Linked DNA regions of Lonchura striata. The protein of the gene in region 1 interacts with the protein of each later gene in a pairwise test. Links are inferred from orthologs where the notes say so. Each region holds a gene or a part of one and is shown on either strand. Other genes may lie near its edges. The genes, in order: ATOSB, FHL5, KIF20A and DNAJA3.

Region 1 (7,466 bases):
AACAGAAGTGAGGATCAGAAACATGGTAATATGGCATTACCAGGATACAGAGGCCCACACAGATCCCTGGAAGAAGGAGGTCCCTGGGAATCATGCAACATGGAGAGACATCAGGCAAAAGCCTCTCAGAGAAGACTCTCACAAAGTAACCTGCAACAATCTCACTAAGTAACCTGTTACAAACCATCTGCCAGCATACAAATATCTCCTTTCAGGATTTATCCCATGCTGCCCTTCACATCTGTACTGTTTCAAACCCAACTCATTAATTCCTCCAGCTACCAAAGCCTCTGATAATTTCATTACAGCTCCATTGACAGCATGCTGAGGACACCACTTTTCTAACCATATGGCTTCACTTTCTCCTTTCTTGTCTGTGGCCACATACTTACCAACAACAGGTTTTCTTATTCTGCATCAGGAAGTGTCCTGGCACCCAGTCATAGTGCATTTCTACACATCACACAATGGTGTCAACCAGATCTAGCAGAGGACAAACCTGGGCAGGCCCAGAGCAATAAGAACATGTAAAGGACTTGGGAAGAGCCAAGAGTCTTTGACTTTGAAGACTCAGATCAACAGCCATCCTCTTCAATCACCCTCAGACTCAAAGAACAAAGTTCGGGTATCTCAGGCCTCTGGTACTCAGCACAGTCATGCAGAAATGTGCCAGGGCAAGCAGCCTGTAGCAGACAGCAAGGAGGAAGACCGGGGCAAAGATGCACTTCTCCTCAGTAAGCTGCGGCTCTGAACAATGGAGTTCCCACAGTACAGAGTGACCCCACCAGATTTCCTTCCTTCAGTGGGTAAGAAACCTCTCACATGAGGAATAGAAACAAGGCGTTTCACCCACTACCCCGGGTGAGTGGTACAGCTGAAACAGCCCCAGCACTGCTCCAACTGTGGGTGGACCTTGGTCCAAAAGCCCAGTTCACCAAGGGACATAGTTGTGGTGACAGCAGGGCTCTGCTGTCCTGACCACCCTAGTCTCTATGGGAAGGGACATGTCCAGGCCCCACCAGAGTCAGCAGGAATACAGTATTACGGTTAAATGTTATGGGAGCAGGGGCTGGAGGTCAGGCAAGGGCAAGTGTTGACACCCTGGCAACAAACACTGTGGCAGCAGCATCCCTCAGAACCAGCCCCATCCGAACCCCTCAGCCCTGCCAACTCCCACCAGTGCCCTGCCCTAGTGCTGGGACTGCATGCTGGCACTGCATGCTGGCACATGTAGAGTCCCCATCAGCACCCTGCCACTCACTCATGCTGAGACCCAAACCATGGGAATTGCTGCTGTGAAACAAGGCGGTGACCAGGCTTTACAGGATGACTTCATTCTCCCAGTCCTCAACCTAAAGCCCAGCCCTGCCAAAAGTAACTCTAGCACTATCACATTGGGAGTTTTCTTCTATGTCACCTGCCGGACCTTGTTCACCTCCTCGTGCTACCAAGCTTGCCAAGACACTGCTTTGTGTCAGGGTTCAAGCTTGCTACAATCTCCACAATTTCTCAACTTTTCCTCTTTACTGATGCCAACAGATACGATTCAGGGAGAGGGCAGGTCTGCAAGCACATCTCTGCTTGTCTGATGTTTTTAAAAAGGCAATGAGTGGAAATTACTTTTAAAATTTAAATTTAGAGCACAACATTCCTCTACCATGCATTTTCCACTGCAACTGCAAATTCCACACGCCTTCTTTCAAAGAAAAATAATAAAAGGAGTGTGGAAACCCTGGAGGTGTGTGCCGTTCATACTGATGGATTATGTTCACGGGTGGGTCGTGAGCAAGCCCACCTCAACAGCAATCACCATGCAGCCATTTCCTCTGACTTCCCTAATAGACCACCTTTCCAAACCTGACACCCGGGCTGCCGTTTCTGTATAAAACCTGCAAGATGCTTGAAAACCTCGGTAGGACGGCAGCTGCTGATTTCGGGAGGGGAGTGCCCCCGACAGGCCCTTCCGCCCGCGGCTGGCTGTCACCAGAGGGCGGCGGATGCCGGGGTTCACATCCGCCCCGGCGCCCACCCCGCACCCCACGCCGGGGCCTGGGAAGGGACCCCGGGGCGGGTGCCGCCCGAGGCGCGCCTCCCGCGCCCCCGGGGTACCCGGCCCCACCGCCGCGGGCCGTGCCGGGACAACCCACCACGTCCCAGCTGGGCTGGAGCTAATGCCCGCGGGAGGAAGAAAAAGAGGAGGAGGAGGAGGAGGCCCCACCGTGCGGGCAGAGCTGCAGACAGGCTGTCCCAGCCCATGTCACAGCGCAGAGGACGTGGCCCTGGTGGGCGAGACCAGGGGCAGCGCAGCCTCCCTAAGCTGCCGGGGAACTGGGAGCCGGGATCGGGGACACCCCGCAGCAAAGGCTGCACCCCGTTTCGGTCCACACCTGCCTCTGCCAGACACTGCCCTCCCGAAGCCTCAGTTCCCCCGGGCACCCCCGGCCCCCCAGAGTCGCTCTGCGGTCACACCGCCGCCTGACCCCCCCGCCTCGGCACCTCCTGCCACAGCCTCCGCCGGTGCCAGGCCTCTTGCCGGCCCAAGTGCCCCGGCTACAGCTCCCCACCTCGGTCACAGTCCCCCACACTCACAGACACCCATCCCGGTCACGACCTCCCCAGCACAGAGACCCACATCTCGGTCAAGGCCCCCCACCGCTCGCAGTTGCCCATTCAGTTTACGACCTCCCCCATACTACCCGATCACGGCCCCTCCTGGTCGCGCCTCCCCCAGCTCCGGCTCGCCCCTGCGGTCTGGGCTCCAGGTCCCAACGGCCCTCCCGAACCTTCTGGAACCGGAGGACGGCGGCAGAGATGGGGCGCACGAACCCGCTCGCACGCCGCACGGGGGGCCCGTCCCCGCCGGACCCCGGCCGTGCCCCGCGCCCCCCGGCCCTACCCGTCGCGGCCCCGCCGGACCCACCAGCGCCCCCTCCGCCGCTGCCGCCGCGGCCCCGACTGTGCGCGGCTCCTGCGTTCCTTCCGGGTGCCGCTGCGGACACGCCTCCCGCGCGCTGATTGGTGCTCTGGGCGGGGCAGGGCGCGGGGCGGGCGAGCCGCGGGGCCGCGCGGCCAATGGGCGGTGAAGCCCCGCGCCGAGACCCCGCCTACGGCCCGCCCCCTCCACGTGCGGGAGTGTGATGACAGCGGGGAAGGGGCGGGCCCGGGCGGCGTGGCGCTTCATTGGCCGGCGGCGGCGGCGTGGGCGGGGCCTGGCTCGGCGCGGGGCGGGACTGCCGCCCCTGACCCTGCGGGCTGAGGGGGCACCCCGGCCCCACGGGCGCGGCGTGTCCCACCCACGGCCACGGCGTGTCCCACTCACGGGCACGGCCTCACGAGCACGGCGTGTCCCACTCACGGGAGCGGCCCCACGGGAACGCCATGTCCCACCCACGGCCACGGCGTGTCCCACCCACGGGCACGGCCCCACGGGCACGGTATGTCCCACTCAAGGGCACAGCCACCCCAAGGGGCAGCCGTCTCGTCCCTACCACGTCCCACCCCAGAGGTGCCCCCGGCCCCACGGCGTGTCCCACCCGTGCACACACCCACGGGCACAGCATGTCCCAACTCCACAGTCACCCTTCGCCCAGCACCATGCATGCGAGCTGTGCCAGCCCCAGAGATGACCCTCCCTGCCCATGGAGATGGCCTCCCCAAAGTGAGACCCCCGCGGTGTCCCTTGTCTCATGCCCCGAGTGGAATCACCCTGGTGTTCCCCACTCCCCAGCTGGTGCTGGTGCCCCACAGGCCGGGGCCATCTACCCACACTGCCGGGCTGTGCCGGCCTGTGCCAGAGCCCACCGTGGGCACCGGACCCGGGGGGCAGCTGCCCCCCTGGATATGGCTGCTCAGAGATACCAAAACACCCAGCAGCCGTGGGGTACCTGGGCAGTGCCACCCGCTTGTGGGGATGCCAGCAGGATCCACTGCCCCGAGGGGAAGCAGCCCACAGCTCACCAGCCTGACCACGGGCCATTTAGGTCATGGAAGAGATGCCTTGACTTCATCACTTTTGGGTGAAGTTCGGTAAAGATCAGTCCCCCAATCGACTTTTCTCTCTCCTCAGGAAGCTACAGCTGCAACACCACTCTAAAAATAGTGGGGACCAGTATCGTCAAATGATAAATATAACCAAGATCTCCTTTTCTGACAGCACACAGTGAGTTGGATGTGAACCTGCAGTGCACTGGCTGCTGAGTCCCAACGCTCCCCTTGCCTTGCTGCTGATCCTGGGGCATTATTTTCGGAGGTGCTGTCATCGATAAAGCTGTGCTGATGCTGTCTGGGAATAGCCATGAGCAGGACAGACGGTTCTCTGACAGCCGTGCCCTGCACGTGCCTCTCTGCAGGGAGAAATGGCAGCTCAATGTCCTCTTGACAGCTATGTGGCCATGGAGCAGCAGCTGCCAACTCAGGACCCCATCTTCTCCTGGGGCCTCAGATTGCTGCTCTAAGCAATTTCTTGTTAAATAACCCCTGGCTGTCCCCACATTCAGCTTGTGGGCCACTAAAGGTATTTAATGTATGGAACAGTCTAATTTCTGAGTGTAATGACAGGAACATGTGATTCTCCAGTGTTCCTTGTGACTTAGGAGCCGCTGACTCAAACTTTGTGTGTACAGGTGCTGGTGCCAGGAAGAGCCCAGGAAGCTCATTTTCCCCACATGCCCATTTTTCCTTCACAGTGCAGATTTTCTACAGACTTCCAGGGCAAAATTTAGCTTTTCTGTCTTTTGACCCTGCATGTCATCTCTGCTGAGCTGACAAGAAATTCTGGAGTCCAACAGGAAGGCAGCAGAGGCTATGGAAACCAGGGATGGGCTGAAAAAGGCTCAGTCCCCATCACACAGCTGCTTACACAGGCTGTGTTCTCCACTGTAAACTGGCTGAAACGAGTTCACAGTTAAAAAATGGTTAATGAACCTTTATTGGCCTGAACAGGAACTCAACTGGAACAACTTCAGTCAAAGCTGAACCACTGTGGAGCTGAATCAAAAAAATTTGCTGGTTCAGCTCCTTGGTTGGGGGGAAATATAGGCTCCTTTGTCCTTGACAAGAATAATACATTTCTGTTTATTGTGTGGGCAGTGAAGGATTAATAATATCCCAAGTTATTTACCTCCCGCTTCTGAGTGCTGAGGGTTTGTGAGCGATGTCCCTGCTGAGCACACTGTCCCTTAGCAACCTCCCCTGGTTTTTGAAACATGTTCTCACTTCAGAAGCAGGATTAAGGAGCAGGACACAAAAGCCCCTTTTACCAGTCTGATGGGGTGAGGCTGCTCCCATTGCTCTTCCCATGGGGCAGAACCTCAACTATGGCCACTTGATGGGCACAGTAACACAAGCTGTGGTGATTTGGAGAGCATCTGGAAAAACTTCCAGAGGCTTGGGAGGTTTGGGGATGGAGCAGACTTACTGCACAAGCTATATTACTTCTCTACAGAGGGGCCCACCCTAGGCCTTGCCAGGAGTAGCCTTCATCTATTCCTTACACACACTGGGGACTTGAAAAGGGCTTTACAAGGGTTGGTGAAGGCAAACAAGGGGTTTAAGCACATTAGGCATGGCTTTGCACCAGAGTTGGCCACTTTCCAGACTCGCCTGCCAGGAGGGCTGGGAGAAGGGTGTTTTCCCAGGAAGATGAGGTGTCCCAAGCAGCACATGGTGAAATGACGTCCTTCCGTCTTGAGCCTTTCTGCCTGCAGGGCTTCCCTTTGAAGGGTGTCCTGGTGAGGTGACTGAGTGGTGGTGAGTTCATCCCTGGGTTACCTCCTTCCTGGAGCTGCCAGTGCTGCCCCAACCTGCCTGCAGCGAGCTGGGGCTGTTCAGCCTGTTTGCCAGGCTGGCTGCTCCCACTCAAAAGGCTGTCAGGTGCCAAGCTCCAGGATGCTGAGGAGCTGACACAAGCAAGGTTCCTGCCCCAGTTTTAATTTAATTTAATGGTTTTCATCATGGAAGAGCGGCATCCCCATGCACACACTCATTTTGTTGGTGTGGGCAGGTTTCACAATTGCAAAAGTGCCCTTGAGAAGTACATGGATCATCTGTCAGTGCTGATGGGGCAGGATGTGCCTGTATAGGGGTGATGCTACCCCTGCATCACCTGTACACTCCCCGTGCCAGCAGGCTGTGCCATACCATGTACATCTGATCCAAGTCCATAGGTAGGTAAAGCAATAAAGGACCCATGTGCAGAAGCAAGCCTGGTAAGACTTGGAGTCCTGCCAGCAAGAGATTGTTGGGAATTTTAAAAGGACCTTGGAAGAAGCTGGTGGAAATCAGCTATCACGTTGTTTTGGGGCCCTTGGCAAGTGGTGGCAGGTTGGGTGGGGTGTGGATCAATGGCAGGGCTGGACCAGGCACTGTGTGGTGACTCATGGCCTCATCCCAGCTGGTAGAGGAGCTGGAGAAAGCTGAAAAGACAGGTGTACTAGAGGAGCATAGGGTGTCACTTCCTTTCTTAACGGTGTGTTGCCACAAAAAGGCTTGCATTTTTGTATCTCTCACAGTCCCAGTCCTAGGCATGCAGCATGGACTGTATCTTCTGCAATGCCTGCCTCTGTGGAGTTTAATGCTTCTTGTCCTCCCTGTATTTTGCAACTAGAGGAGACAAAGGCCAAAGCCTGTCCCTCTTTCTCTGAGACTGTCACAAGGAGAAGATGCACTGTAGTGCCCTGTGGTCCTGTGTTGGAGCTAGGGAATTTTCCTGGGGGAATGTGAACCAGTGCTGCAGGACCTTTCCCCCGCCAGAACCTGGTTCCATGATGTGCTTGGTTTACCTGTTTGACAGAAACAGCTGTAAAACTGAAGATAGAAATCAAACTTGGAGAGTTTCCTGCTGGGGGAGTCCTACTGCCCTCGGGGGAAGAGATGGCATTCTCTTTTGGCACTGTGGGAATTCCTTCTGGTAACATCTCCAAGCAGAGCTTGGGGTCACAATAGAGATGGAGTCACTGTGGTATGCTGACTGAGTCCCAGTGCCCACCAAAGCCTCATCCCAAACTGGGCATGTCTCAGAGTCCTGGTGGGAAAGGAAGAAGTGAGAATGATGGATTTGAGATCACTTTAACAAACACAGGGTAGTAGGGCCAGGTAGGGCTGCTCTTTTGCTCCCATACCCACACTATACTCATAGTTCCAGTGTTGCCTCTCCTATTAGCTGTCTCCCAGCACCTTTGTAGAGGAGGGCAGCATTGTGATCCCCAAGGTACCATGGTGGGCCTTAGAGACCAAGGAAAAAAGGATGGATGATCTGGAGTCTGACACAGGTCATTAACCCAGTGCTACAGACTTCACTGTTGTCTGAGACACACATGGGACTTCCCAGAATTAAACAGGAGTCCTGGCTATGTACAAAACTCGAAAGATCTGTCCTGGAGATGCTGGCAGTCTGGGTTCTAAGGGATAAAGGCTGTTGGCTACAGCTTGGCAGGCTAAGGTTGCTCAGCAAGAAGAATTTCTATGTA
Region 2 (7,530 bases), on another chromosome or scaffold:
AATGATCTGAAAGCAAATTGTCATGTTTTGACAATTTAAACAAAAAAATATTTCTGAGTGAAAGCACTAGGATAAAGAACACAAACACAGGGTCTGGTCAATGTGGGAAACATGCAGATGATTTATCTAATCTGGCACTTCTGCTCACAATAGCTCTGTTTGTCTGCTTATGCTCACAGTGGGATATGCTTCCTAAGAACTGCAACAGAATCAAGGACATCACATGGACACATTTTACCCTGCATTGAACTCTTAATATTTTTAAAAGGATTCATAAGACCTGTTAGTGATCAGAAGTGTCTGCCTGCCTTCTCCCCACTGCTGGGAGAATTCCACACAAAGGAAGAGTAGTCTCCTCCAAGCTGTTCTGAAAGTCAAGGGTCTTGTAACTTGGTTATTCCAGGAGGTGGTTATCATTAAAAATGTGGTTCCATTTCTCAGCAAAGGGCCCCTGTTGTCTTACCAGGCATAATGGTCTTCTGGCAGTGAAAACACTTGGATGAGTACTCATCAGAGTAGCACTCGGTGCACAGCAAGACCTCGTCCTTGGCAGCAAAGGGTTTCTCCACGAGTGAGCGACTGCACTTGGCACACCTGAAGCACCCCTCATGCCAGTGGCGGCCTTTGTAGGCCAGATCCTTGGAGAAAGTAAGTCCATGTTAGTGAGAATATTTATTTACAGTGGTTTTATCCTTCAATTCCTTCCAGAACTAAAACAAGAAAGGAAGAGCATCGCAGGGGCGGACCCAGCCAGAAGTGTGCTCAGGGAAGAGGCAGGTACTCAGTGTCACATTGTTGTGTGGATCTCTTGCAGATGCCATTAGGAGCTTCTTTGACAGAATGTCCTTCCTTATGTAACACAGAGGTATGTTTGTATTGGAAAAACAACATTATATATTACAGTTGTCTTTTAAGGGGAAACGAGTGATCAACATTTTTAATGTGCACAGACCACTGGAGAGGAAGTCCATATTCTATAGAATTTGAAATTAATATTTTCAGTGTTACTACTTCCAGCTGACATGACAGAATGCTGTTATGTCAGAAATCAAGCAATTAAAATCTTATTGAGAACAAAATAATTATTAGCAAGATTAAAAAAAATTCCTTTTGATATATCTGATACATCTGATATAAATCCCCCTGAAAACTTGGCAGAAAAATGTTTGTTTAAGAGTCAGTGGGCTTAAGGGATGAAAGAGCTAACAGTATATATATGAGATCCTGACTAAGAACTCAAAAAAAAAAAAAAAAAGACCAAACAGCAGATTTAATTTCCCCACCGTTAGAAAAGACAGGGAAAAATGCACCTCCAAAAAACCCTCCCAGCTTAAAAAACAAACCCTTCCAGGACTCTTTTATAAGTAAGAAACATGAAAGGGCACAAATCCAATCTCATTGTTCTCCTTGATCATGTCCCTGCCTTTTAAAGAGCTAAAAATAAAAGAAATACCATGCTTCACTTCAGGAGGTGCTGAGCATTTACCAGTTGCATTTGCTTTCGTTAGCACTCTGAACCTTGCAGGAACTCGGCTGTCAGCCCAGAGCAGCCTGAGGCAAAGACTGAGTGAGGAGGAGAGGAAGAAAACCAAGCTCTAACCCCTTGGCAGAGGTGAGACAATCAGCTGTAGATCTCTGTGTGCCACTTTTCTAGATGTCTCTAGCCAGGTGCACTCCTTTCTTACACGTCTGCTTTTTCCTCTCATTTTTCCCTTCCATTCAGTCCAAAGACATGGCTTTTTGTTTATGATCCTCAACAAGAGTAATCCTGTCACTTATTTAATTTTTAATTTTAAAGATGAAATTAAGTGAACTCAAAGCATGTGTTCTCCTGGTGAATCTGACTGCTGCTACGTGTACAGTGTTGCTGTGGGTGAAATGCTGATGAGAGTTTGAGGAGTGTCTTCAACCAAATCAGCATTTTCCTTAGATGATTCCTGGATGTAGACTATGTGCTTTGAAGTGCTTGGGCTGGGAAAGCCTTCCAATATGTTTATTTTAATATATTTCTGTCCTTTTATTTCTAAGGAACATAGGCAAAGAAAGCATGGGGAGAAGGTGACCAGTACACACTGAACTTGGCAAAATAAATGATTTTTGATAGGTTTCATTTGACCTTAAAATTCAATGTCAAGTGTATGTCCTCTATATTGAAGTATGGGGTACTAGAAACCCTGTCAAAAACCACAGAAGAGCTTGAATTATTAATTAATATTGTAAAAAACTGAGAGGTGAAAGACAGGCAGCAGAAACACTGCCACTAATATACCATCTGTGAGATGAGCAAGGTAAGCATGGAATTTAGCAGAAATTAAAAAATACTTTATTTCCAAAAGAGAGAGAGAGAATATGCAAATTATAAACGTTGTCTTCTAAGCTTGGCATCTGCTTGTCAACACCTACAGTAAAAGTAATTTATTCAATGCTCAAAACATTTATTCAATGAACATGTCTCAGAAATTCTGAGGTGTCAATCAACCTGATACACTGAATTGCACCATCCACCCTATCACCCCTCCAGCACTGTGCAGCCCCTGCAGCCAATGAGTGACTGGAGGTGAAGGATGGAGCTTAGCTGAGGTCCACACACCCACCACAGCCTTGCTGTAAACCTGGGGCATATGCATGTGCAGATTTCCTCATCTTTGATCCCAGAGCTTTCCTTTTTCATGGAAAATAGCACTGTTTCACTGCTGTGTGTGGATGTACAACAGCTATGGCTAGGTCTCTTCAGCAATACAGGGATATGAAAAGGGGTGGATATCAAATCTACCATTAAAGAAATTTGATTTGTGTATAATTTAACAAGGAACAAAAAGTTCAAGCCAAATCTTTACCTTGGAGTTGCACTCAATGAGCTGCTTGCACTCCTGGCAGGGGTTGGCATACAGGCTGTCATAGCACGGAACACAGTAAGCATTTTCTTCTCTTAGTGCATATTTCCTGCCACGGAGGGACTGCAGGCAGAAATGACAATCTGTGTGGCTGCTGGTCATCCTGCTGGGACCCTCCACGTGATCTGCAAAAGATGGAAAAGTCGTGTAATTCAGTGCATAATGCTTGCTCAAATACTAAGTAATGCTGCATTACCTGTGAAAGACAGGCATTTCCTGGTCATTTGCAGTGCCCTGGATTTCTTAATGCTGGCTTGTTCAACAACAAAATGGTAGCCTTTAACAACATATACTGTGAATTGTATCACTTACATGATGAGGAGCAAGAGGGCTGCTTCAGCTTATTCTAACGCTGTTTCAGGCCAGACACCTGAAAATGAAGCCAACTTCACATTCCCTACATAAAACTACTGGCATTATGAGCATTATGTACTGGATCCTGAGATATACTTCATCCAGAAATTGGGTAATGGAGATAGAAGCAATAATTCAGAAATGAAACCAACTGCAGAGTTAAAAGGCCAAAGAGAAGAGGCAGGCACTTTGTAGTGTGTTCCTGACTTGCTCTTGATACTCGTGTCCTTCTACTCGTTCCTTTCTTTTCAAAATACCCCCACATCTACCTGACCCAATGGAAGGAAGACAAGGGGCTCCAGGATATATGACTGTTTTTTGCATTATTCCAACTGTGCTGCTAATATTTGGCGACATTTTAAAGTCACACAAATATTCCCGGAGAGTAAAAGAGTAAAATATAAAGAAAAATAAACTAAATAGCAAGTCAAACAAAATCAGAACTCAAAGAAAGTTTTCCTTGTTGTTATTGGAAAAGATTGTTTTTCTTACATTTTTCTTTATTTCTATATTGGATTCCACATTGGCAGTACCAAAATAATGTGAAATAGTTTATATTTCTGTGCCAGACAAGTGCAGGAAATACCACAAATCTATTGAGAATCAGTTGTATGAATTTCCCATCCTTCAGTTTTTCAGGCTTAAGAGGCTTGGACAAACATCCAAACCTCAGCTGCTTATAGATCTGCAATAATAGATGTTTTAAGAATTGTGGATTTTAAGCCCTATTTCAGTCTTCTTATTGCTGGTTGGATCATCATCTCTTTGCTAAAATTGGGTCTTGATTCTTGGAAATGAAGGAAGAAGAAACCAGAAAGTTCATAGTGAAGCAACACCGAAAACATCTGCTGGGCTCATTGGGTTGCACTCTTCATTAAACTCAATGAGTGTATCTGCAGCCAGCACCAGCAATCATTAATTTTAGAGGAGTTGAAAACAACTGGAGAAGGTCTAAAATATTTATGTGTCAGTGACTTTGGGCAGCTGAAATTTTTGCACTTTGAATAACAGGGCAAATTAGTTTCTCTTAACCAGATGCAGAGCCTGAGAATAAAGTAGAACATGCAGAAGACAATATAAGAACATAGAGAAAATTTGAGGGAGTTCTTATCCATGACAAAGCCTACATCTAGCCCACTTAGAGTTGCAACCTCACACTTTGTTTTTATGCACTCACTGATGGCCTGAACCATACCTACAGTTGAGCTTTAAAAAGGCATAAAATATTTTCCTGGGTTTCTGCTTTGGTAAGCTCTAAACCAAAATGGTTGTTTGAGCTGTGAGAAAAAAGCAATTACTGCAGGTTTCCCCTAGCACCAACGCATAAGGCCAGGCATTTATGAATCTGTTCTGGGAGATGTAGTAGTAAAAAAGTGAAAAGGGGGCAGGGAGAGCGGCTGTCATACTAATTTCAGACCAAAAGTAATGACTTGGCTAGAAAGCTTGTTGTTCCTATAAATTGAAAATCTTTGGGGTTGAATTGATATATGGTATTTCTTACTGCCCTTAATATTTGTGTCAGCCAAGACAGTGTGTAGTAAGGAAATAATCTGGAACCCAGATCAGTGGGAAACATGCTTTCTTAAAAATATTTCTGATGTGTTTTATGTGATATCCTTGGAAAAATAATATAACAGGGCTTGAATCAGGACTTCCATTTCCTTAAGATCAAACAGATTTGAATGTGTAACAAATAAACCCATTTATATAAGAAAATTACATCCATCAGCTTGTACATTTACAGAACATGACATATAAAACCAGGCAGAGCTCAGTTCATTTAATACACAATCACAGTCATGACCAAAGTCAAGGTTAAGTTTTGCCCATTTTGCTCTTTATTGGGGAAGAAGTATGAATTGGTGTCTAAGGACACAATCAAGGAGTGTTTATGGTTAACTCCATAGTTAAGGTCACAGAAAAGGCTTGAAAACTGGGTTTCAGAGGATTTTCATTTTTTTTAGTGGGAATTAAAGTTATGAACTGCCTTGGAGGATAACCCCAAGTGAACCACCTTTCTGATCCCCTCCGTGCTGGATCAGTACTCCTGCTTCCTGACAGAGTTTCATCTCAGTCTAAAAGTGGCAACAGCAAAATCCAAACAGGGCATTCATAAAAGTTTTGTTACTTATAGCACATTTTTGTTACACAAAGCTCACCAACAAATAGCTTCCCATGTCTGTAGAAACATCTCTGTTTTTTTATCCTAATAAATGTCAATCAGGTTTTCTAAGTTATCAAAACCTCTGCATTCCAAATAATTTTCTTTAAAACGTGGCTATCTTGATTAATGCTTTTTCTCCCCCAGAAAGTCAGTCTGTTCCAGGAAGCACAGGCTGTGTGCACAAACAAGACCCACTACTGTAATACTCCAGAACTACTGAATTTGCAACGTGATTATTCTCTTAAACCCCTATATGGATATAAGAACAAAGTATTATTAATCCTGTTGTACAGATGAGAGCTGTTGCTTGAGAACTTTAATAAAATACCCCAAGAACAGAGTCAAAGCCTGAGGGTGTCCTTGGGCTGCTTCTCTAGTAAAATGCTCAAGGTGCCCAAGACTTTTCTTCAGAAAATCTTCAGTTTGACCATGAATCATCATAAAAGACCATGTTTGGGAATGAAGCAGCAATGGTATGCAAAAGAATGAAGATTTTTTTGAAAACCTTTTGGCAAAAATATGGGTAACCTTTGAGAACTACTTTTACCATTAGAAAATGCAACAAAAAAGGTAAATCTCATCACTCCCAGCACCACTTATCCATGCTCCAATAAATAAGTAATGGTACGAGCGCCACACAGTGAAGTAGAATGTTTTTCTTGTGCTTTGATCCTAATCTCTAGAGAAATATGTTTACTTTAAGTTTGCTGGAAGCTAGACTTTGTGTTTTGAAGGTCAGCTAAGAAATCTCTGGAGATCTGATGTTATTCACTCTCGTGGAATGAAATGCTGACTCCAGCATTCCAGCTGCTAACTCCAGTCCTAGGCACAGGGAAAGACTGCCATGTTGCCCTTCCTTGGGAAAAGATGATTTTATTATTTAAATTGGAACATTTTCAATTGGAAGCTAAATACTGTTGATTTTTATGTACCTGGTTAGCAGGGATACGAGCTATCATTTTAAAGGTTAAGAATATTCCAAGAAGGTGCAGAGAGATGTTGCCAAGGACATGAGGACATTGTAACTGGAGTCCCTGGGGTCAGATTTGAGGATGCAGCAGTCTCATGGACTGAATGATAAAAGAGATGATAATACAAAAAAGTCAGTCAGCCTGCTGTTAAAGCAGATTAAGATAGAATTTAGCTACAACAAATTCAGACAGGGACTTTCTGGAGAGTCAAATTATTTCACATAAAATGCACTAGAAGACTTCCAGTGAAGACAGCTGTAAGAACATGGTTGTGAAGTTGAGTCCTGATAAATATGGAACCATCAGGAAAAGAATGTTTTGGTTTTTTTCCCATTGGAGCTAAAAAGCAGAGCCAGAAGGTTAATATACATTTCAATAATTAATCTTGATGTTTTCTATAAATATATGTTAATCTTCCTGACATCATAAAAAAATAAAAAGCCCAAAAACATTCATACTACTGAGAAAAGAATTAGTATATACATATGGATGTAGATATGTACATACAGGTAAAAGTGTTCTATCTTTCACTTTGTGGAAATTCTAATGGAATATTTCTTAATCTAAATATATCTACCACTGAACTCCATGATCTTTTTCTTTAACAACAAACTATTTCTTAGAGAGGCAGAAAGAAAAAAAAAAAAAGATGGGAAAAAATCCTTTGAACAGCACTGAAGGATAAGAAAAACAATTTGATATCTTATGATGAGGACACCCTTGCAAGTTGCCCTAGGCACTTGTTCATTTTCATGTAAGTGCATTCTTTTATCTTCTAATGCTATTTGCCTTATTTACATGAATTTGCTGACAATTTTCTCTATTTCTATTTTTGTCTCATGCATTTACATACATTAAGAGTTCTGTAATATTTGCTTTTCTAAAAATGGCTACAGAAGCAATAGAAACTAGGGGCATATATTACAGATCAAGGCAAACCAAGAACCTACTGGAAAGAAGACACAGATATTAACTCTGAGCTATCTTATCTCTGTGGCACAGGACAGTAATACAGCGTCAGGTCCTGGAAGCATCTGAGTGAGTGCAGAGTTCTCACTGTTGAAATCCTCCTTTAAGCAGCCAGGACATATGCCAAACAGGACACAGCTGTAAGAATCCAAATATTCTGCTTCATGGTCCACAAGTG
Region 3 (7,151 bases), on another chromosome or scaffold:
CTGGCAAAGCACCTGTGGAACAAGAGGTGGCGATCCATCGCATTAGAATTACTTTGACAAGTCGCAATGTAAAATCACTGGAGAAGGGTGAGTAGTACTTCTCTGCTTACTTGGGTAGCTTGTCAAGTAATGAATAATAGGTGCCATGTAAGGCATTGCAAAATACAATGTACTGAAACCAGTTGTAATTAAAGATGTTACTGTTCGCCTTTTTGTACTTGCCTCGGCTCGCAAAGCCAATCAAAGTGCTTCACACACCAGAAAGTAAATTCTGATTTAATTTTTAATGAAAGTTGGTGTTTTGTGGGTTTTTATTATGTGGAAAACTTATGTCATAATGACTAATGTAAGAGAGTGCAGCTTCTTCCCTTTAGTTCTTACGGAGAATTTTTAAATAGTTACCATGCTTTGAATGTATAAGAACTGAAAGGCACTGGTTTCTTGATATTTTGCCATTTGTGTTATGAAGAGTTTAGTGTAACGTTCTTTAAAAAAAACTTTTAATTTAGGAACTAGCTTTGCCAGTGTTTAGTCATATAATAAAAATGTAAAAAAAGTTACTATTTGCAGGATCTTCAGGCTGATAACAGCTTAAATACGGTTTAAGCTTGTAATGCCTATTACTTACTGTTGCACCATGGCTTTACTTGTGATGTCACAACACTTTCAGTTGTACGTGGTTGGCTGTGAGGATAATGCTTTAAATGAATGGCAGTGATCGCTCATACGCTATTCTGAGCCAACATCTTGTTTAAAATACGTGCTTAAAAAAAATCAAAATAGTTGCAAACCTGAGCCATTGCTTGTCTTTTTTCAGTCTGTGCTGACTTGATCAGAGGTGCTAAGGAAAAAAACCTGAAGGTGAAGGGACCTGTTCGCATGCCCACCAAGGTACTTGACACTGTTTTTCTGCCTTAAAAATTGGTTTTCTTTCTGCAACTGTGTGCTTAAAAACATATTTTTTAAAGAACAAAAGGTGAGGTGAAAAATAGTGCTACTAAACTGAGGGTAACCCATTGTAAAAAGATGATTTCACAAGTTGCTTTGACAGCTACTTAGGATAACTGTTAAGTACAAAACTTGTTGACTGTGGAAGGGGCTTTTCTGTTCACTTTATTTTAATAACAAACTAATTTTTTAAATGAAAATAAATATGTAGGGAAGGAGTGTTAACTTAATCAGCAGACCAAACTTAGTAGGTAGCTTTCTAATGCCATAGATACCATACAGTATTTGTAGGTGATCATCTTTTCATATGATTGTAGATTACTCCTCTCAGTGCATGAACTAAATACCCCCTGTTTGACTTTGCAGACCCTGCGGATCACTACCAGGAAGACGCCTTGTGGTGAAGGTTCCAAGACCTGGGATCGCTTCCAAATGCGTATCCATAAGCGGCTCATTGACCTGCACAGCCCTTCGGAGATCGTGAAGCAGATCACTTCCATCAGCATCGAACCAGGCGTAGAAGTTGAAGTTACTATTGCCGATGCCTAAATGATACTCATCATTGAATAAAGTTGATTTACAAATTTTCATCATTTGTTTCTTTTCTTACGTTTGCCAAGAGATAGTTCTGTGCTGGTTTTTATGAAGAACAACAGAAACCACAATCAGAATGCTGTGTGAGAAGACTATATTTAAGGAAGAATATGCCAGCTGTAAATAGCAGGAAAATTTAACTTGGGCTCCTGGTTTCATTGGAGTCTGGCAACTATATGGTTGTGCAGCACTTGATGAAAAATATATTTTTAATAATTTAAGGGTTTGATTTTGGCTGAAATGTTAGTTTATACACAGACATTATATACAGTACCTGCATTAAAATTGATATTTAGGTAAAATTACCAAGTTTTTAATTATTGGTTCTTGCTGTGCAAGACTGAACTAATGCCTAGCTTATTTGGATTTTTTTTTCCCCATGTGTGTCACAATCAAAGGATCCTGGGGGTGCTAGTTGTAAAACTTCATAATTTGTGATTAACACAGTGAATTGAACAATTTTATTTCGATGTGCGTGTAGAGTCATAAAGCTGAACTATGGAACTACCTAGTTGTCTGGTTTAGATTTCCATAGATATTAATGCTAATAGCAAGCTTCATATGTAAAGCAACGAAGCAGCCATTTTTTTTGCTGCTTTTAAGTCTCTCAAAGGAACTGTGACTAATCTTAAACCAACAAAACAAAGCCCAGAGTTCTAGAAAACACTTGTTTAAATCCATTAAGGATCAGGTCGCTCCAACTGCTTCAAGCATAGGAGACAACTTGAATTCTAATTAAAACAAGCAGTGGTGGTTCTCTGCAAGAGATCCTCTGCTTCAGGTCGTTTATGTTTGCTAAGACCTAAAATTGACCAAAGCTTGAGCTTTCTTACTCAACAGATACAAGAGGCTTTCAATTTCTTTAAGGCCTTACAAGGATTCTCACCCTCCACTTAGGCTTGAGAGCTTGGGTAGAAGGGAGGTGAGTGAGTTAATGTGAACAGATTGTTTCTCAAGGAAGTAGGCTTGACAATTATGTGGAGGGGGAAATACCCCCCAACACAAAATACCTGTGTCTTCCTTAAAGTCTGTTTCTGGTAATACGCCACAAATAAAAGCTGCCTGACAAATAACTTCTAGCTATAGTTTTAAAATTACTTGTATTATATGGATTGCTCTTTACAGGAGTAAATGGGCAAACAAATAGCATGTGGAGATCTGGTGGCATGAGTTACAGACTACTTAAGTAGTCTGATTACAGAGTAGCCCTGTGTCAAACGTGACTGGAGGGATCTAGGCACGGCTGGCTGGGTTTGACACTATTTCTGCCTTAGCTTTTTCCCGTTGGTCAAAGCGGGAACAGTTTTGGTATCGGCTTACACCTGGCTGTACCTCTGACTTGCCGGATGCCTCTTAAACACACCTAAATGACCTGAAGTCCCAAGGACCAAATTCCTTTGTCATCTCTTCACTTATCTCCAAGTTACCCATAAACACAGATGCATCTTTCCCTTTGTGTATGGGTGCCGCTCTGTGCAGAAATACTGCTGCCTGCCTGCTGCGAGCAGGCCGGCTCGCACCGGGGTGCGGTACATTTGTTACCGGCAGGGTCGGTCCTCAGCTTCTGGAAGGCGCTGGATCGCGGAGTCCTCCAGGCTCATCCCGCCTTCCCCCGGCCCGCCGTCCTTGACCTGCACACTCCTGGCTTTCGCGTGACCCGTTTCGCGATTTTATTTATTTCCTGTTTCGTTTTCTACTTCTACACCGCGGCAGCGCCGGGACGGTTGCGTAACACCACGCTAACTTTATATAACCCGCTCGGACGGAAACATTTAGGTACCCGCGTATCCCCCGCCCATCTTCCTCCTCCCCTTCTGCCAGGCAGAACACCCTCCCTCCTCTGGCCGCCCGGCAGTCGGTTCAGAGCTCTTCTTTGCCGCCGTGCCTTACTAGGGACCATAACCACACCCGCCGCGTTGCTCCGCCCCGCCCCGCTCCCTCCCGCTGCCCCCATTCCCGCCTTCCCTCCCGTGCGCTGTGCGGCGGCGCCCCCTGCCGGGCTGAGGCAGCTCTGCCGGTGCCTTCATCACCCCCCCCATCCCCGCTCCCCCGCGCTCGGCCAATCAGCGCCCGCCTTCCCCCGCGCTCGGCCAATCAGCGCCCGCCTCTCCTCCCAAAACGCCCCCCCACGCTTACGCGGGCCCGGCTCGCGAGTTCCCGCGCGCGCCAAGGTAGCGGCGCTGGCGGGAGCGGGAATGGGAGCGGGCCGGGGGACCCCAGCCCGGCCGGGGGACCCCAGCCCGGCCGGGGGACCCCAGCGCGGCCGGGGGACCCCAGCCCGGCCGGGGGACTGCGGGTGGATGAGAGCAGTGCCCAGCTGAGGCTGCTAGCGCGCTTTCCCTTGTGTGTTACGTAGTATAACCTGCCGCGTGGGTTTTTTTTGTTTGTGTTTTTTTTTTTTTTTTTTTTGAAGGTCATACTCCCCAAACTTCTCTAGATTGCCCTGTCTTCTTCGGAAGTGCTCGTTTATATACGAGCCGGCCCCATCTCTGTTATGCTCCGTATGTATTTTTGTTCGTTCTCTCAGATAATGATGGGCTTTTTTTTTTTTTTTTTTTTAATCCCTTTCTTTACAAGTTCCTTTGCAGAGAACGATGGCTGATGAGAGGAAGAACTATGTTTCCACGGAAGTGTGTGATGTGTTGGAATCGGTTTCTTTTCTGAGTGTAGATGGTAAACCTTCCCCCTTGGAATCAACAGTATTGCCCAATACAGAGGAACAGCAGGTGTGGATTGGTTTTACAAGGTGTATTCTGGTGAAACTGGGCTGTTTATTGATGGATTTTTTTTTTTTTTAAGCTTTAATAAATGTTTCTTTGGTAAGAACTGCTGTACTTCTCTGCCCCGGGATGTGTTTGATTCTTCTGCTTATTTCTCATTGTTTACACACGGGTCATAGCTCGCACCAAATGCGAACCCATGGTCAGTGCTATGCGATATGATGTGCTAAACCTTGTGAAAAAAACAAGTAAAGGACTTCAGTAATTGCAATTTGAATGTAATGAGACTGTACTATTCTTTTTAATAAGCTTTAAAAAATACACAGATCCTTGATGTAAAAACTCACTAGGTGCTTGGAAATAAAAATCTATAATGCTCTGCTGTGCTTGAGCAGAAGTAGTTCTACCCAGCTCTGCGTTTTTAGAGGGATCCGTTTCCTATGTGACTTTTCCTCAGATGATTTCACTTTGAGTGATTACTGCTGGTCATGACAGGGCTGTGGGGAACTCGAGTAAATCCATCTGCTGAATGAAACGTTGCCAAAGTAAAGACCAAAACTCCTTGAGAAAGCAAGGAGTGCTGGGATTCCTCTAAAATGCTTCTTGCTATAATTGCTTTACTTGGGAGGAGAGAGTTGTATAATGGTTGGGGGATAGAAAAGGCCGCCTGGGCAACTGAGACTGGTTGCCTGCTTGCTACTGTGAGGAAGCTGAGGGTGTGGTGGTGCCTGGATGGTGGTTAAGGAAGTGGTCTCTTGAGGCTAAGAATGTGTCAGTCAGTGCTAATTGAACACGCTGCATACAGAATGAAAGTGCAATACTGTGTAGCAGCTGTTAAACACAGCTTGAATTCAGTACAGCCGGAGACCAGAAGGTGGAAGCAGTGCAATTCGTGCCCCTGATAGTGTGCTCTTTTAAAATCACGAACACTGGTTTTGTTGTGAAAGAATGCTAAAGGGAGGGGAATAGTTGGGGGGGGCACAGGAAAAATGGGTTGCTTTAGGACAGTAGAAGGGAAAGAAGCAAATAAAAGCTTTGAGTCTGAAATTGACATGAAAGAAAACATAAGACATTAATATAAAATAGGAAACAATATCAGATACATATGCTGATATGATTCGGGGCTGTTCTGTTTAAAAAGTGGCAATTATAACTGTGTTTTGTGTCTTTCTTCTTTTTAATGAATAGGTATATGAGCCTTTGAAAGTCTTCTTGAGAGTGAGACCCTTTTCTATAGCAGAGCTTGAAAGCCATGAATCCCAGGTTTGTTGTAGAACTAAGAAATAATTTTTTTTTCTCCTCTGAACAACACATAGTATTATAAGGCCAAACTTTCTTTTATATAAGCTATGTACTGCCCTTGGAATGGAATATGGAATTATTTGGCATCTGGATAGATGCAAGATTTTTTTTTCCACCCTCACGACTTCTAATAATTTCTATGATATAGACATGTACACCTGTAGCTCTTCAAAGTTTCACTGGGTATATTATTTAAAAATTGGTCTCAACTCTCTGTAGTGCTGAAGATACAAAGGAGTTCCATGGAAGAGATTATGCAATTCTAGTTGTAATTTGACTATCTGACTCTTAAGCTTCTTTTAAATGCTTGAATAATCTCCTACCTCATCCTGATGACTTCTTTCTCAGCCTGTCAAAAATCTTCTGTAACCTATACTGTCAGATTCAGATGCTTCAGTGTTTCATACATACACATTTCATACAAACATTTAGAAGTGCTCCTCCTTCCTGCATTGTTATCACTGATGAAAAGAATTCCTTTAGCTGTCTTTGGAGGACAAAGATCTCTATATCATATCTCTTAGCCCTTGTCTTTGCAGGCTGTCTGATTGTGGAGAGGTCAGCTTGAAGAACTCTAAGAAGCATTTAATGCTAATTCTTATTTGCTTCTTGCAAATAGTTTTTTAAAAATGCATTTCTTGCTTTTGATCTACTGGAGTTGGAACCTTTGTATTGTTTTCACTTGGATAATTCTTCCCTCTCTTGCCCCCAGCTTCCCTTTGCCTTTTCTTAGCTCTCCTTGAATAGTGCTTCCAGTTTGGTAAATTCCACAGTCTGAGCTGGCTTCAATTGTAAATTGATTTGCAAAATCAGATTGTTTCAGGAGTTGTTGAGTACATTCCTCTTTGGAGTGAGACATTTCTTAAAAGCAGGGAAGAAAAAATGAACATTGAGGTTTGTACAAAATTTTTTGTTTCATGTGGTTCAGGCTGAAATAGTTGAACTTCCAACCTATTAGCTGTATAATCTGTTTTGCATGTGATTAAGGCGTTTTTCTGAGCCTCCAAAACCAGAATGATTTAAAGATCTTCAACATTTTCAGTGTTTTCTACTTTCTTTATTATCACCTGAATCCAAGAAGAAAATGCTTGGTAACAAATGGAAGAAACCCACACAAAACAGTCAAGTAAGCCTCACTTCCTGATCATTAAATCAGATCAATGTAATTTGTAGGTCTTTTATTCCTCCTTGCCATGCATAATTTTCAGGAAAGCACCTTTGTTCCAAATATGTGGCACAAAAAAAAAAAAAAAAGTAGAACCCAGGACTGATTCCTTACAGTTATAGGCTGATGCTTTAAACAAAGACAATCAGCAGGTTAACTGGTCAGTTGATGCTTAAAGAGATAATGATTTATAGAAGTTAAACTTAAGAGCTCTGGGTGAAATTCTGTACTCCCTGTCAGCAATTGTCCAGAGTCACCTGTGGGAAAGTAGGATATAAATGATGTGTGGTTTTGGATATAAATGATGTGTTCAGCACCAGAAATGGTCCAGCTCCTGCCAACTTACCTGCAGGGTTAGCTGGGGGAGACCAGTGGAGTGAATTGTCACCATCTGGCTTCCATCTCTGCAGATCTGACTACTC
Region 4 (8,005 bases), on another chromosome or scaffold:
CAAAGCTCCTTAGAGTGCTACAAACGTCTGTGTTCAGATGAATCCAAGGACAATCCATTTACATGGATTACTGCCAGTGTCCAAGAAAACCTTATGGTGACTAAGCCCTGGACTGAACCACTGAAGCACACAAGGAATCAGATGCATGGAAAACCAAAGCCTGCAGCTCCATCATTACCTGCATCTTCTTATTTTATGATTACCCTTAGGTTTTCACCACCTTCCTCCAGCCCGCAAGTCAAAAGATACTAATTTATTGCCTGAGGAATTTCAGAGCTATTACATGATATTCATATGGTTTGTGGGATGTGCAGTAGCAGAGGATCCAGCCTGAAGGCTCATGCTTTCAGCTGGGCACAGCACTTTAACACAAAGAAAATCTTCCTAGTGCCTACTAGCATCAAGCTGACACTAACTCAGCTTTGCCCAAGATAGGCTGATGAGTGTGGTGAGAATTTTTCACCATGGAATGAAGTGACCCTCCCCAGGAAGGGAAAGCACAGAACTGGTGTGCTGCTCAGCACTTACCATGCCCGTGCCATTGCAGTAGTGACAGCGCTGAGCTTTGGTGCCAGGTTCGTGTCCTTTGCCATCACAGCGCACACAGGAGTCCTGGATGTTCACCACAATCTCCTTGTTAACACCTTTTGCAGCTTGGGTGAATGTCAGTTCCATGATATACTGCACAGGAAACATGGATATAGATCCATGACTGAGGTTTGACAAGGAGACTGAGAAGAGTTTAGGCTAAATACTAAACAATGCTAAAAATAATTCTAAAAATTCTCAGTTAATAATGCTAAAAGTTCTCAGTAAAGATGACTGATCAAAATACGAAATTCTCCTTATATGATAAAGGTCATTTTTAGTAAAACCAAGAATACCCAACACCAAACATTTCTGAAGACAACACATGAATCATCAACACTTAAGGAGCATTTAGCTGCAACACGAAGAACAAGACAGATTTTATTATGGGCCTCACTGCAACATGAAGCTAATTAAGTTGCAAAATTAAGCCAATTAAGCAGCAGCCAAACATATTGCTGGAAGGCCTGGTTTATAGCTACAAGGTATTTTGTGGGTTTTAGCATAACAGATCAAAGGAGGCATAGGTAAATCAAGCTGCAGCAGAAACGATGCCTCTCCAGCGATGGAACAAGTCAGCAGTACTGGGTGATGTCAGTAAACACCAGAGAAGTAGCTCAAACCCAGAAAAAATATCCTGTCTGGAGGTGTGGGGTGTGTTCCTGCACAGCTTAGCAAAACTAAGAGACTCTGCCCATGCCATGGGACACTCACACACTGACATCCCCAGAAATAACTCCTCACTGAAGCTCCCACAGCTTGCAACAGAAGCCGGGGAGAGACACTACTTTCATACCTAATTAAAGGCACCTCCTACCTCCTGTGGCTGGTCAAAGACAGTCTGAAAATCGCCAAAAGGTGATCCCGAGAACTCCCCAAAGATCTTCTTGAAGAGCTCCTCGGGGTCGATGGAGGGGCCGCTGCTCCAGTACTGCCGGCCCGCGCCAGCCCCGGCCCCGGCCGCGCCGGCCTCGAAGCTCGCCGTGCCGTAGGCATCGTACTGCTTCCTCTTCACCTCGTCACTCAGCACCTGCGGCGAGGAACGCGCCTCAGGGCAACTGCGGGGCCCAGGAGAATCCCTGGCTCTGGGCTCAGACCTTCCACAAGGTCTCACCCAGCTCTCGGCACCACAGGAGTTAGGGACAAGCTGCTGCTTCCCCGGTGTTTCTTGGCTCATCAACAGAAAAATTACAAGATTTTACTACTTTATAAAAAACAGCAATAACTTACACTAAGCAGCTGATCATTATTATATCAGCTAAAGAGTGCTGGAATCCAAAAACAGGGCTGGGGGAGCACAGTGAAAGTCCCTCTGGACTTTTGGTTTGATTACTTAAACTGATAATAATTCCACAGAAGTGACATCTATGCCAGTCACTGCTAAGGAAGGGGAAAACTGAAAAAGCCCAAAGCAGCTAAATCAGATACTTGGACCAAGTAATGTCTCGGGACAGAGGTGCCCCAGATTGAAGTGCATCAAAAAGCAGCCAAGTTTTTACAGGAAACGTCTGCCCTCATCCACCCTCTAGTTTTTCCTCCTCATCACAACAAAATCTTGCTATTACCTCGTAGGCTTCTGCCAGCTGAGAGAACTTCTCCTTCGCTTTGGGATCATCCTTGTTTGTGTCAGGGTGGTATTTCTTTGCCAACTAAAAAACAAAACCCAACCATTAGGGACAGGCAGGAGTTATTTACTTAAGCATATCTCACATGCCAGGAAAAACACATCGGGCAGAGCCTGGCATTCACTAGATGCATTCCTAGGGATCTAAAACTCTTCATTTTCATTTATCAACCCAAAACAAGTAACTACAGGAGCTGCTCCTTATCTTCTCAGCAATCCCAGATCCTTCTAGAAGCGATGACAGCACAGGCAGACCAGGCTTTGGAAGCGATCCCCAAGGCCATGTGCTGAGCTTTCCCGCTGTCTCTAGCGGCTGCAAACACGGGATGGATTTGTTCCCTGCCCCAGCGAAGGGGCAGCGCCGGCTCCTCTCGCTGCCCGGGGGCGCAGGCCGGCGGCTCCCGGCGCACCTGGTAATAGGCCTTCTTGATCTCCTTCTGCGTGGCGGTGCGGGGCACCCCCAGCACCTGGTAATAGTCCTCCTTGGCGCGGGCCGCGCTGCTGTGGAAGGCGGCGGCGGCGGCGGCGGCAGCGCGTTTCGTCCCTGCGGGAGAGGAGGGAGAGTGGCCGCCGTGAGGGCCGGGCCGGGCCGGCCGGAGCAGGGGACGCACCGGGGGGAAAGACCCGCGCCCCCCCCGCTCACCAGCGGCGCAGAGCCCGGCGCGGAGCAGCAGGAGGCGGCGCGGGCCGCGGGCGGGCGGGGCGCGGAGCCCGCGGAGCAGCAGCAGCAGCGGCGGCCGCGCGTTCCCCGCCCCGCGCCCCGCGGCCGCCCCGACCCAGCGCGACGCGCACCCGGCCGCCATCTTGGCCCGCGCGCGGCGCTGCGCCTGCGCACCCTGCGGCGGGGACGGGCCGCGCATGCGCACGGCGCCGCGGCCGCGGCTGCCCCGTGCTTGCGCATGCGCGGGGCTCGGCGGGGCCGCGGGGACGGAGCGGGAGGGGACGCGGGGCGGGGACGCGGCCGGGACAGCCGGGCACTGCCCCCTGCCAGAGCCCCGTGCGGCGGGGCCGGGAACCCGCCCTGAACCCGCCCTCTGCTCTGCCTTCGCGGCCCGCGCCCCTCCGGGGCTGCTCTCCTCCCCCGGCCGGTGACATCTCTCGCAGGAGTGGAATAAAGGCTCCGAAAGCCCAGCGGGTGCAGCGCCGCACGCCCACGCTCAGGCGGCACAGCAGCCTGGCACGGCGCCCTCAGCGAGGCAGCAGCTTTCCTCTGCAGAGGGGGAGGACGATTCGTGCCAAGCGTGTCTCTCTCCCGCCCGCGTCCCCGGGGCTGGCGCCTCCGAGCGCTCCTCGGCACAGCTCGGGCCCGCGGCGCGGGGGAGGCTCCGCGGGGCTCAGCGGCGACAGGGACGTGCCCGCTCCTGCACACGCCGCCCTCAGCCCGCTGAAAGCGGGGCAGGAGCCTGGCTCCGCCGGCGTGGGTGACACCCGGGCTCCAGCCGGGCCCAGAGGGCCCAGCGGGCTCAGATCCAGCGCTCCCTGCTCCTCCTCCCGCCCCGCAGCTCTGAGTACACGACGGTCTCTGTTCACCGCCGGCTGCCGGGCCGCGGAGGAGGCGAGCACGCCGAGCCCCCGGCACTGCAAACCTCCCGCCGGCCCCGCGCTCCGGCCCCGAGCCCGACGGAACCGCTGCCCTGTGTGGGAGGAGAGCGGGGTGCCAGCCGGGGTCGCAGCACGGGGTGACCACGAGCCTCGGGGGGAGGCCGGGAAGGCGCCGGGACCGCCGGGCAGCCACCCAGCGGTGGCTCCGACGCCGGGGTTGGAGGCTCTGGCGGGGGTCCGAGGAGCCGGGGCTGGGGGTCTGTGCCCCGCTCACGGTGACACACGGGACACACGGTGACACACGGGACACACGTGAGGGGGTCCGGCGGGGCTGGCCCAGGGGCGGGGCGCGGGGCGGGGCTCGGCGCGGGCGGAGCGGCGGGGCCGGGCCGGGCCGGGCCGGGCCGGGCTGGGCTGGGCACGGCTCGGAGCGGTACGGCCGGAGCACCATGAACCGCTTCAAGGCGTCCAAGTTCCGGCACACCGAGGCCCGGCTGCCCCGCAGGGAGGTGAGCGCTGCGGGACCCGCCGGTAGCGGGGGATCGCGGGGGCGGCGGGGCCGGGGCTGCCGGCGGGCAGGGACAGGGATGGGCACGGGGACAGGGCAGCACCGGCCCCGCCCCGCGGCACCGGCAGGGCGCGGTCCGGGCCCCGCGGCATCGCCGCTGCGGCGGGGCCGTGCCCGGCTCTCCCGGCCGCGGTGCGGGTGCGTCCCGGGGCGGCCCCTCCTTGGCACCCGCGGCTGCCCATCCCGGGCTCCGCGGAGGGTCCCGGCCCCGGGGCGCTCCGCAGGTGGGCGGCTGGGGAACCCCAGCCCTCTCTGGGGCCGGTGCAGCCCCCGGCCGGCAGCGGCTGGCGTGGGGTACCCGTCCCGTGGTGGCTGCTCCCCTCCTGCCGCTGGCACGGCTGGCACAGGCGGTGCATCCCCGGTTCTTGCTGCCCGCTGCCGTTCGGTATCTCACCCTCCTGGCCCGTACCAGCCAGGGAAGCACGCACCGAGAGCGAAACGCTGGGCCTCGCTCCTGCCACCCCGCTGTGCCACCCCGCTCCGCAGGCACGGAGGAAGTGCTGGCCCCACGGGGTGCTGCTGAGCCCCGCCACCCTGCCCGTGAGCTGTGCGGCTCGGCACCGCCGGGGCCAGGCAGCTCTGGGAGCCTCGCTGGGCAGCACGGAGCCGGTCATGCCCAGCCCTGGCCTCTGCTCCGTGAACAACCAGCCCCAGTCATGCCAAGCGTCATGATCCATCCTGGCACGGTGTTGGCAGTGGGTAGCCCTGCCCTGCTGTCTCCTAAACCGCAGATCTGGACCGGGGAAATCTCCCAGGTCCCTGTCCCTACAGATTTGGTAGGGCAGGGGCAGAGATGCAGGGGCAGGGCTGGGTGAGTGGTATCAGGGAGCATTACCAGGACACACAGCCCTTCTGGGGGTTCCCCAAGCTGAGTACCCTTCACCCAGCACCTCCTCAGCACCGTGGCCATGAGTGAGGCTGCTGCTGCTCCCAGCCCTTGGGTGTGCACACATTCCTTGTCTGTAATTTCCCAGCCAGGCTGTCCTTGCACCCACCTGTGGCCTGTGCTCACCTCTGCAAATCCAGCAAGGACCCAAAACATCCTCTGAGCTTCAGCTGTGGGAGGGGACATGGTGTGCCAGCCCTGGTGTGTCTCAGGTGACTGAAATCTCGGTTTGGATGAATGGTTGGCTGTGAATCTCAGGGTTCAGATGAGGCACTGGCAGCCGGGAGTGTGCGTGCCTGTGGGGTGGGACATGGCATCCTGCAGGCAGGGACATCCCATCCTGGTGTTGGTTCTGTGGTGGGGGAGCTCCGAGGGGCAGCGTGCTCTCCCTGTGTGCAGGGAGGGATCTGCTGTGCAACGCTTTTCCAAAAGGCTTTTCTCATTCAGGCATGAAACGTATCCTTGGAAGTGAGGCCACACACTCCCAGTAGGGCAGCAGGTGGAGAAGGAAGTCTTGTCACCAAGCCCATCTCAGGTGTCACAGCGGGAAGCTCTGTTGTGTCCCCAGCTGAGCACCTGTTTATGGAGGCACAAGCAGACACCCGACCTGGCTGGATCAGGAAGCACAGTGTAAACATCAGGGATCACATCTGATGCTGCTCTTCAGGCAGCATCTGCAGGGCTCTGCTGGCAGATGGCCCTTGAGAGCTCACAGTTTGTTCTAGGGATGTAGCCAGGATGCTTTCATGTGCTTTCCTGGCCATGCTGCCACGCTGCAGGAAGGATCGCTGCCTTGAGGGCTGCTGCCTGTGTGTGTGGGGAAATTGTGGGGTCAGGATGGACCAGCTCTGTGAAACCTCACTTCAAGGGTCCTGCTGGCACCCCTGGGTGCTGGGGGTCAGATGTGACTGGTGTCACCCTCACTGAGGGTTCAGTGCAGGGTGGTGGGATGCAGATAGTGGGGCCCTTATTCCAGGGTCCTGCTCATGCTCCTGACCTGTTCCCCATCCCCAGTGCAGCCCCCTGCCCACATGCTGGGTGTGGGGACAGGAACCTGCCTTTGGCAGGAGAAGGGTTAACAGGTCTGCACTGAGCTGTGAGGGGAGGAAATGCTGCAGGAACCACTGCTCCCTGTCAGGCCTCAAACGGAAGTTGTGCAAGGAGAGGAACCCTGGGGCTCGGGGTTTCCCTTCCCTACCCAGGTATCTGCCCAGTTTGTGGGGTTTCCACTGCTCGGGACACCTGCTGCAGCTCCGGGGGCTGCTGTGGGCACACAGGCCTGGTGTCAGCCATAAAACACCTGCCATTGCCACTGTCAAGGGTTGGACTTGGCCCTGGGAGTGCCAGGGAGCTTGTAGCCCTCGTGGCTGCTTGAGGTGGGGTGTCCGTGTCGCCTGGAGGGGGTCTGGCTGATGGAGGGTGTCCCAGGGCCCCACGAGTGCAGTGCTCAGCCCTGAGAAACACTGCAGAGTGGGAGTTTGGTTTTGAAGCTGTAATGCAGCTCCTTGGCTGTGTGTCCATGTGGGAGGTGTGCTGCTGGAGGTGTCTGTTGGCCTCAGTCAGCCACAGCTTGACCCTGTGGTGCTTCACAGCCCAAGAGCTTTTGTCCCATCCAGATTCTCTGGCACCAGTTATTGCAAAGACCTTGGACACTTCCCACAGTGGGACAGCCCAGAGGTGGGACAGTCTGGGTGCTGGGATGCTCCTGTGTCCCACCCTTCAGCCCCAGTGAGGGGCTGTGCTTTGTGACAGCAGCAGGAGCAGCCACGTTGGCCTGGGACACCCCAGAGGACAGGATAATCCCGTTGGCATCGCCAGTCTCCAGCTCTCCATTGGCACGGCAGCTCCTCTGGGGCTGAGGCTCTCTGGCCATGCTGTGCCAGTGGTCCTGCTGCTGTGCTCCAGGCCCTGCCATAAGCAGGCAACCCTGATGAGGTTTTTCCCTGTGCGCCCAGGCGTGGATCAGCGGCATCCGGGCAGGCTCTGCCCCCTCCTGTGGGAACCACGTGAAGGCCAGCTGCCGCTGGATCGCCTTCAGCGCCGAGGCGGCCGGTGAGGAACAAGGGTCCCCAGCACTGTTGGGGAGTGGGATGGATTTGTGCCAAGGGTCCCCGTGGGGCTGGGTGGTGGGTCAGTCCCCCTGACCCCCGGGGCACTCACCAGGGTGAGTGGAGGAGGGTTTCCCTGAGAGCCCCCAAAGTGCTGACAGTCCCACACCTCTTGGCTTGCATTGCAAAGCTGGGTGCCCCTCGTGTGTCCCAGGCCGGGGGTGTTCCTGACCTGCTCCTGTGCCCTCTCCTGCAGGTGTGCTGGGCATTGTGCCCCTGGAGTGTGAGGATGGAGGCAAGAGGACAATATCTCAGCTCTGCTGCCACTCAGGTGGGTGTCAGGTGCCACCTTCCCCCTCCACAGGACATGTTTGGCTCCACATGGGCTGTGGAGGTGGCCCGGGTGCTGAGTTCAAGCCTGGCAGGCTGTGGTGAGCTGTCTGCCAGGCAAGGGACATAGGGACCTGCCAGGGACCATCACCCATGGGCAGGATGACATGAGGAAGGGCTCTACCAGGCTGGCATCAATCCATGTTCCTTCATCTCTCAGGCTGCAGAGAGGCCTGAACATGTAGCTCTTTCTCTCACCCTTCTAGCACTGCCTTTCCACATTACTCATAGCATGCCCTGAAATTCCCAGTACACCCAGTGCCAGGCTGGAGTTGGCATCGCTGAGGCATCGCTGCCTCCAGTGGCAGGAGGAACAAGCTGGACCAGCAGCTCTGATGTGGGCAGAGTGAGTGTGGCAG

What was found.
Region 2: the proteins of ATOSB (region 1) and FHL5 interact in binary tests that used the Homo sapiens proteins (3 or more experiments, as listed by UniProt). The two-hybrid records come from large-scale screens. The link is inferred for Lonchura striata from reciprocal best matches to the Homo sapiens genes ATOSB and FHL5.
Region 3: the proteins of ATOSB (region 1) and KIF20A interact in binary tests that used the Homo sapiens proteins (3 or more experiments, as listed by UniProt). The two-hybrid records come from large-scale screens. The link is inferred for Lonchura striata from reciprocal best matches to the Homo sapiens genes ATOSB and KIF20A.
Region 4: the proteins of ATOSB (region 1) and DNAJA3 interact in binary tests that used the Homo sapiens proteins (3 or more experiments, as listed by UniProt). The link is inferred for Lonchura striata from reciprocal best matches to the Homo sapiens genes ATOSB and DNAJA3.

Annotation. Positions count from the first base shown.
Region 1 is NC_134642.1:40,208,873-40,216,338, reverse strand, and holds the start of ATOSB (atos homolog protein B), read right to left. Parts: upstream 3,003-7,466; 5' UTR 2,921-3,002; intron 1-2,920. UniProt on the Homo sapiens protein: Transcription regulator that may syncronize transcriptional and translational programs.
Region 2 is NC_134605.1:75,234,785-75,242,314, forward strand, and holds the start of FHL5 (four and a half LIM domains protein 5), read right to left. Parts: upstream 3,009-7,530; 5' UTR 2,997-3,008; coding exon 2,838-2,996; intron 639-2,837; coding exon 464-638; intron 1-463. UniProt on the Homo sapiens protein: May be involved in the regulation of spermatogenesis. Stimulates CREM transcriptional activity in a phosphorylation-independent manner.
Region 3 is NC_134603.1:39,023,482-39,030,632, forward strand, and holds the start of KIF20A (kinesin-like protein KIF20A), read left to right. Parts: upstream 1-4,136; coding exon 4,137-4,268; intron 4,269-5,450; coding exon 5,451-5,525; intron 5,526-7,151. Other genes in the region: RPS20 (small ribosomal subunit protein uS10), read left to right, coding at 1-87, 818-891, 1,315-1,497. UniProt on the Homo sapiens protein: Mitotic kinesin required for chromosome passenger complex (CPC)-mediated cytokinesis. Following phosphorylation by PLK1, involved in recruitment of PLK1 to the central spindle. Interacts with guanosine triphosphate (GTP)-bound forms of RAB6A and RAB6B.
Region 4 is NC_134618.1:3,662,890-3,670,894, forward strand, and holds the start of DNAJA3 (dnaJ homolog subfamily A member 3, mitochondrial), read right to left. Parts: upstream 3,016-8,005; coding exon 2,856-3,015; intron 2,757-2,855; coding exon 2,623-2,756; intron 2,238-2,622; coding exon 2,154-2,237; intron 1,619-2,153; coding exon 1,406-1,618; intron 682-1,405; coding exon 529-681; intron 1-528. Other genes in the region: CORO7 (coronin-7), read left to right, coding at 4,204-4,263, 7,164-7,260, 7,513-7,587. UniProt on the Homo sapiens protein: Modulates apoptotic signal transduction or effector structures within the mitochondrial matrix. Affect cytochrome C release from the mitochondria and caspase 3 activation, but not caspase 8 activation.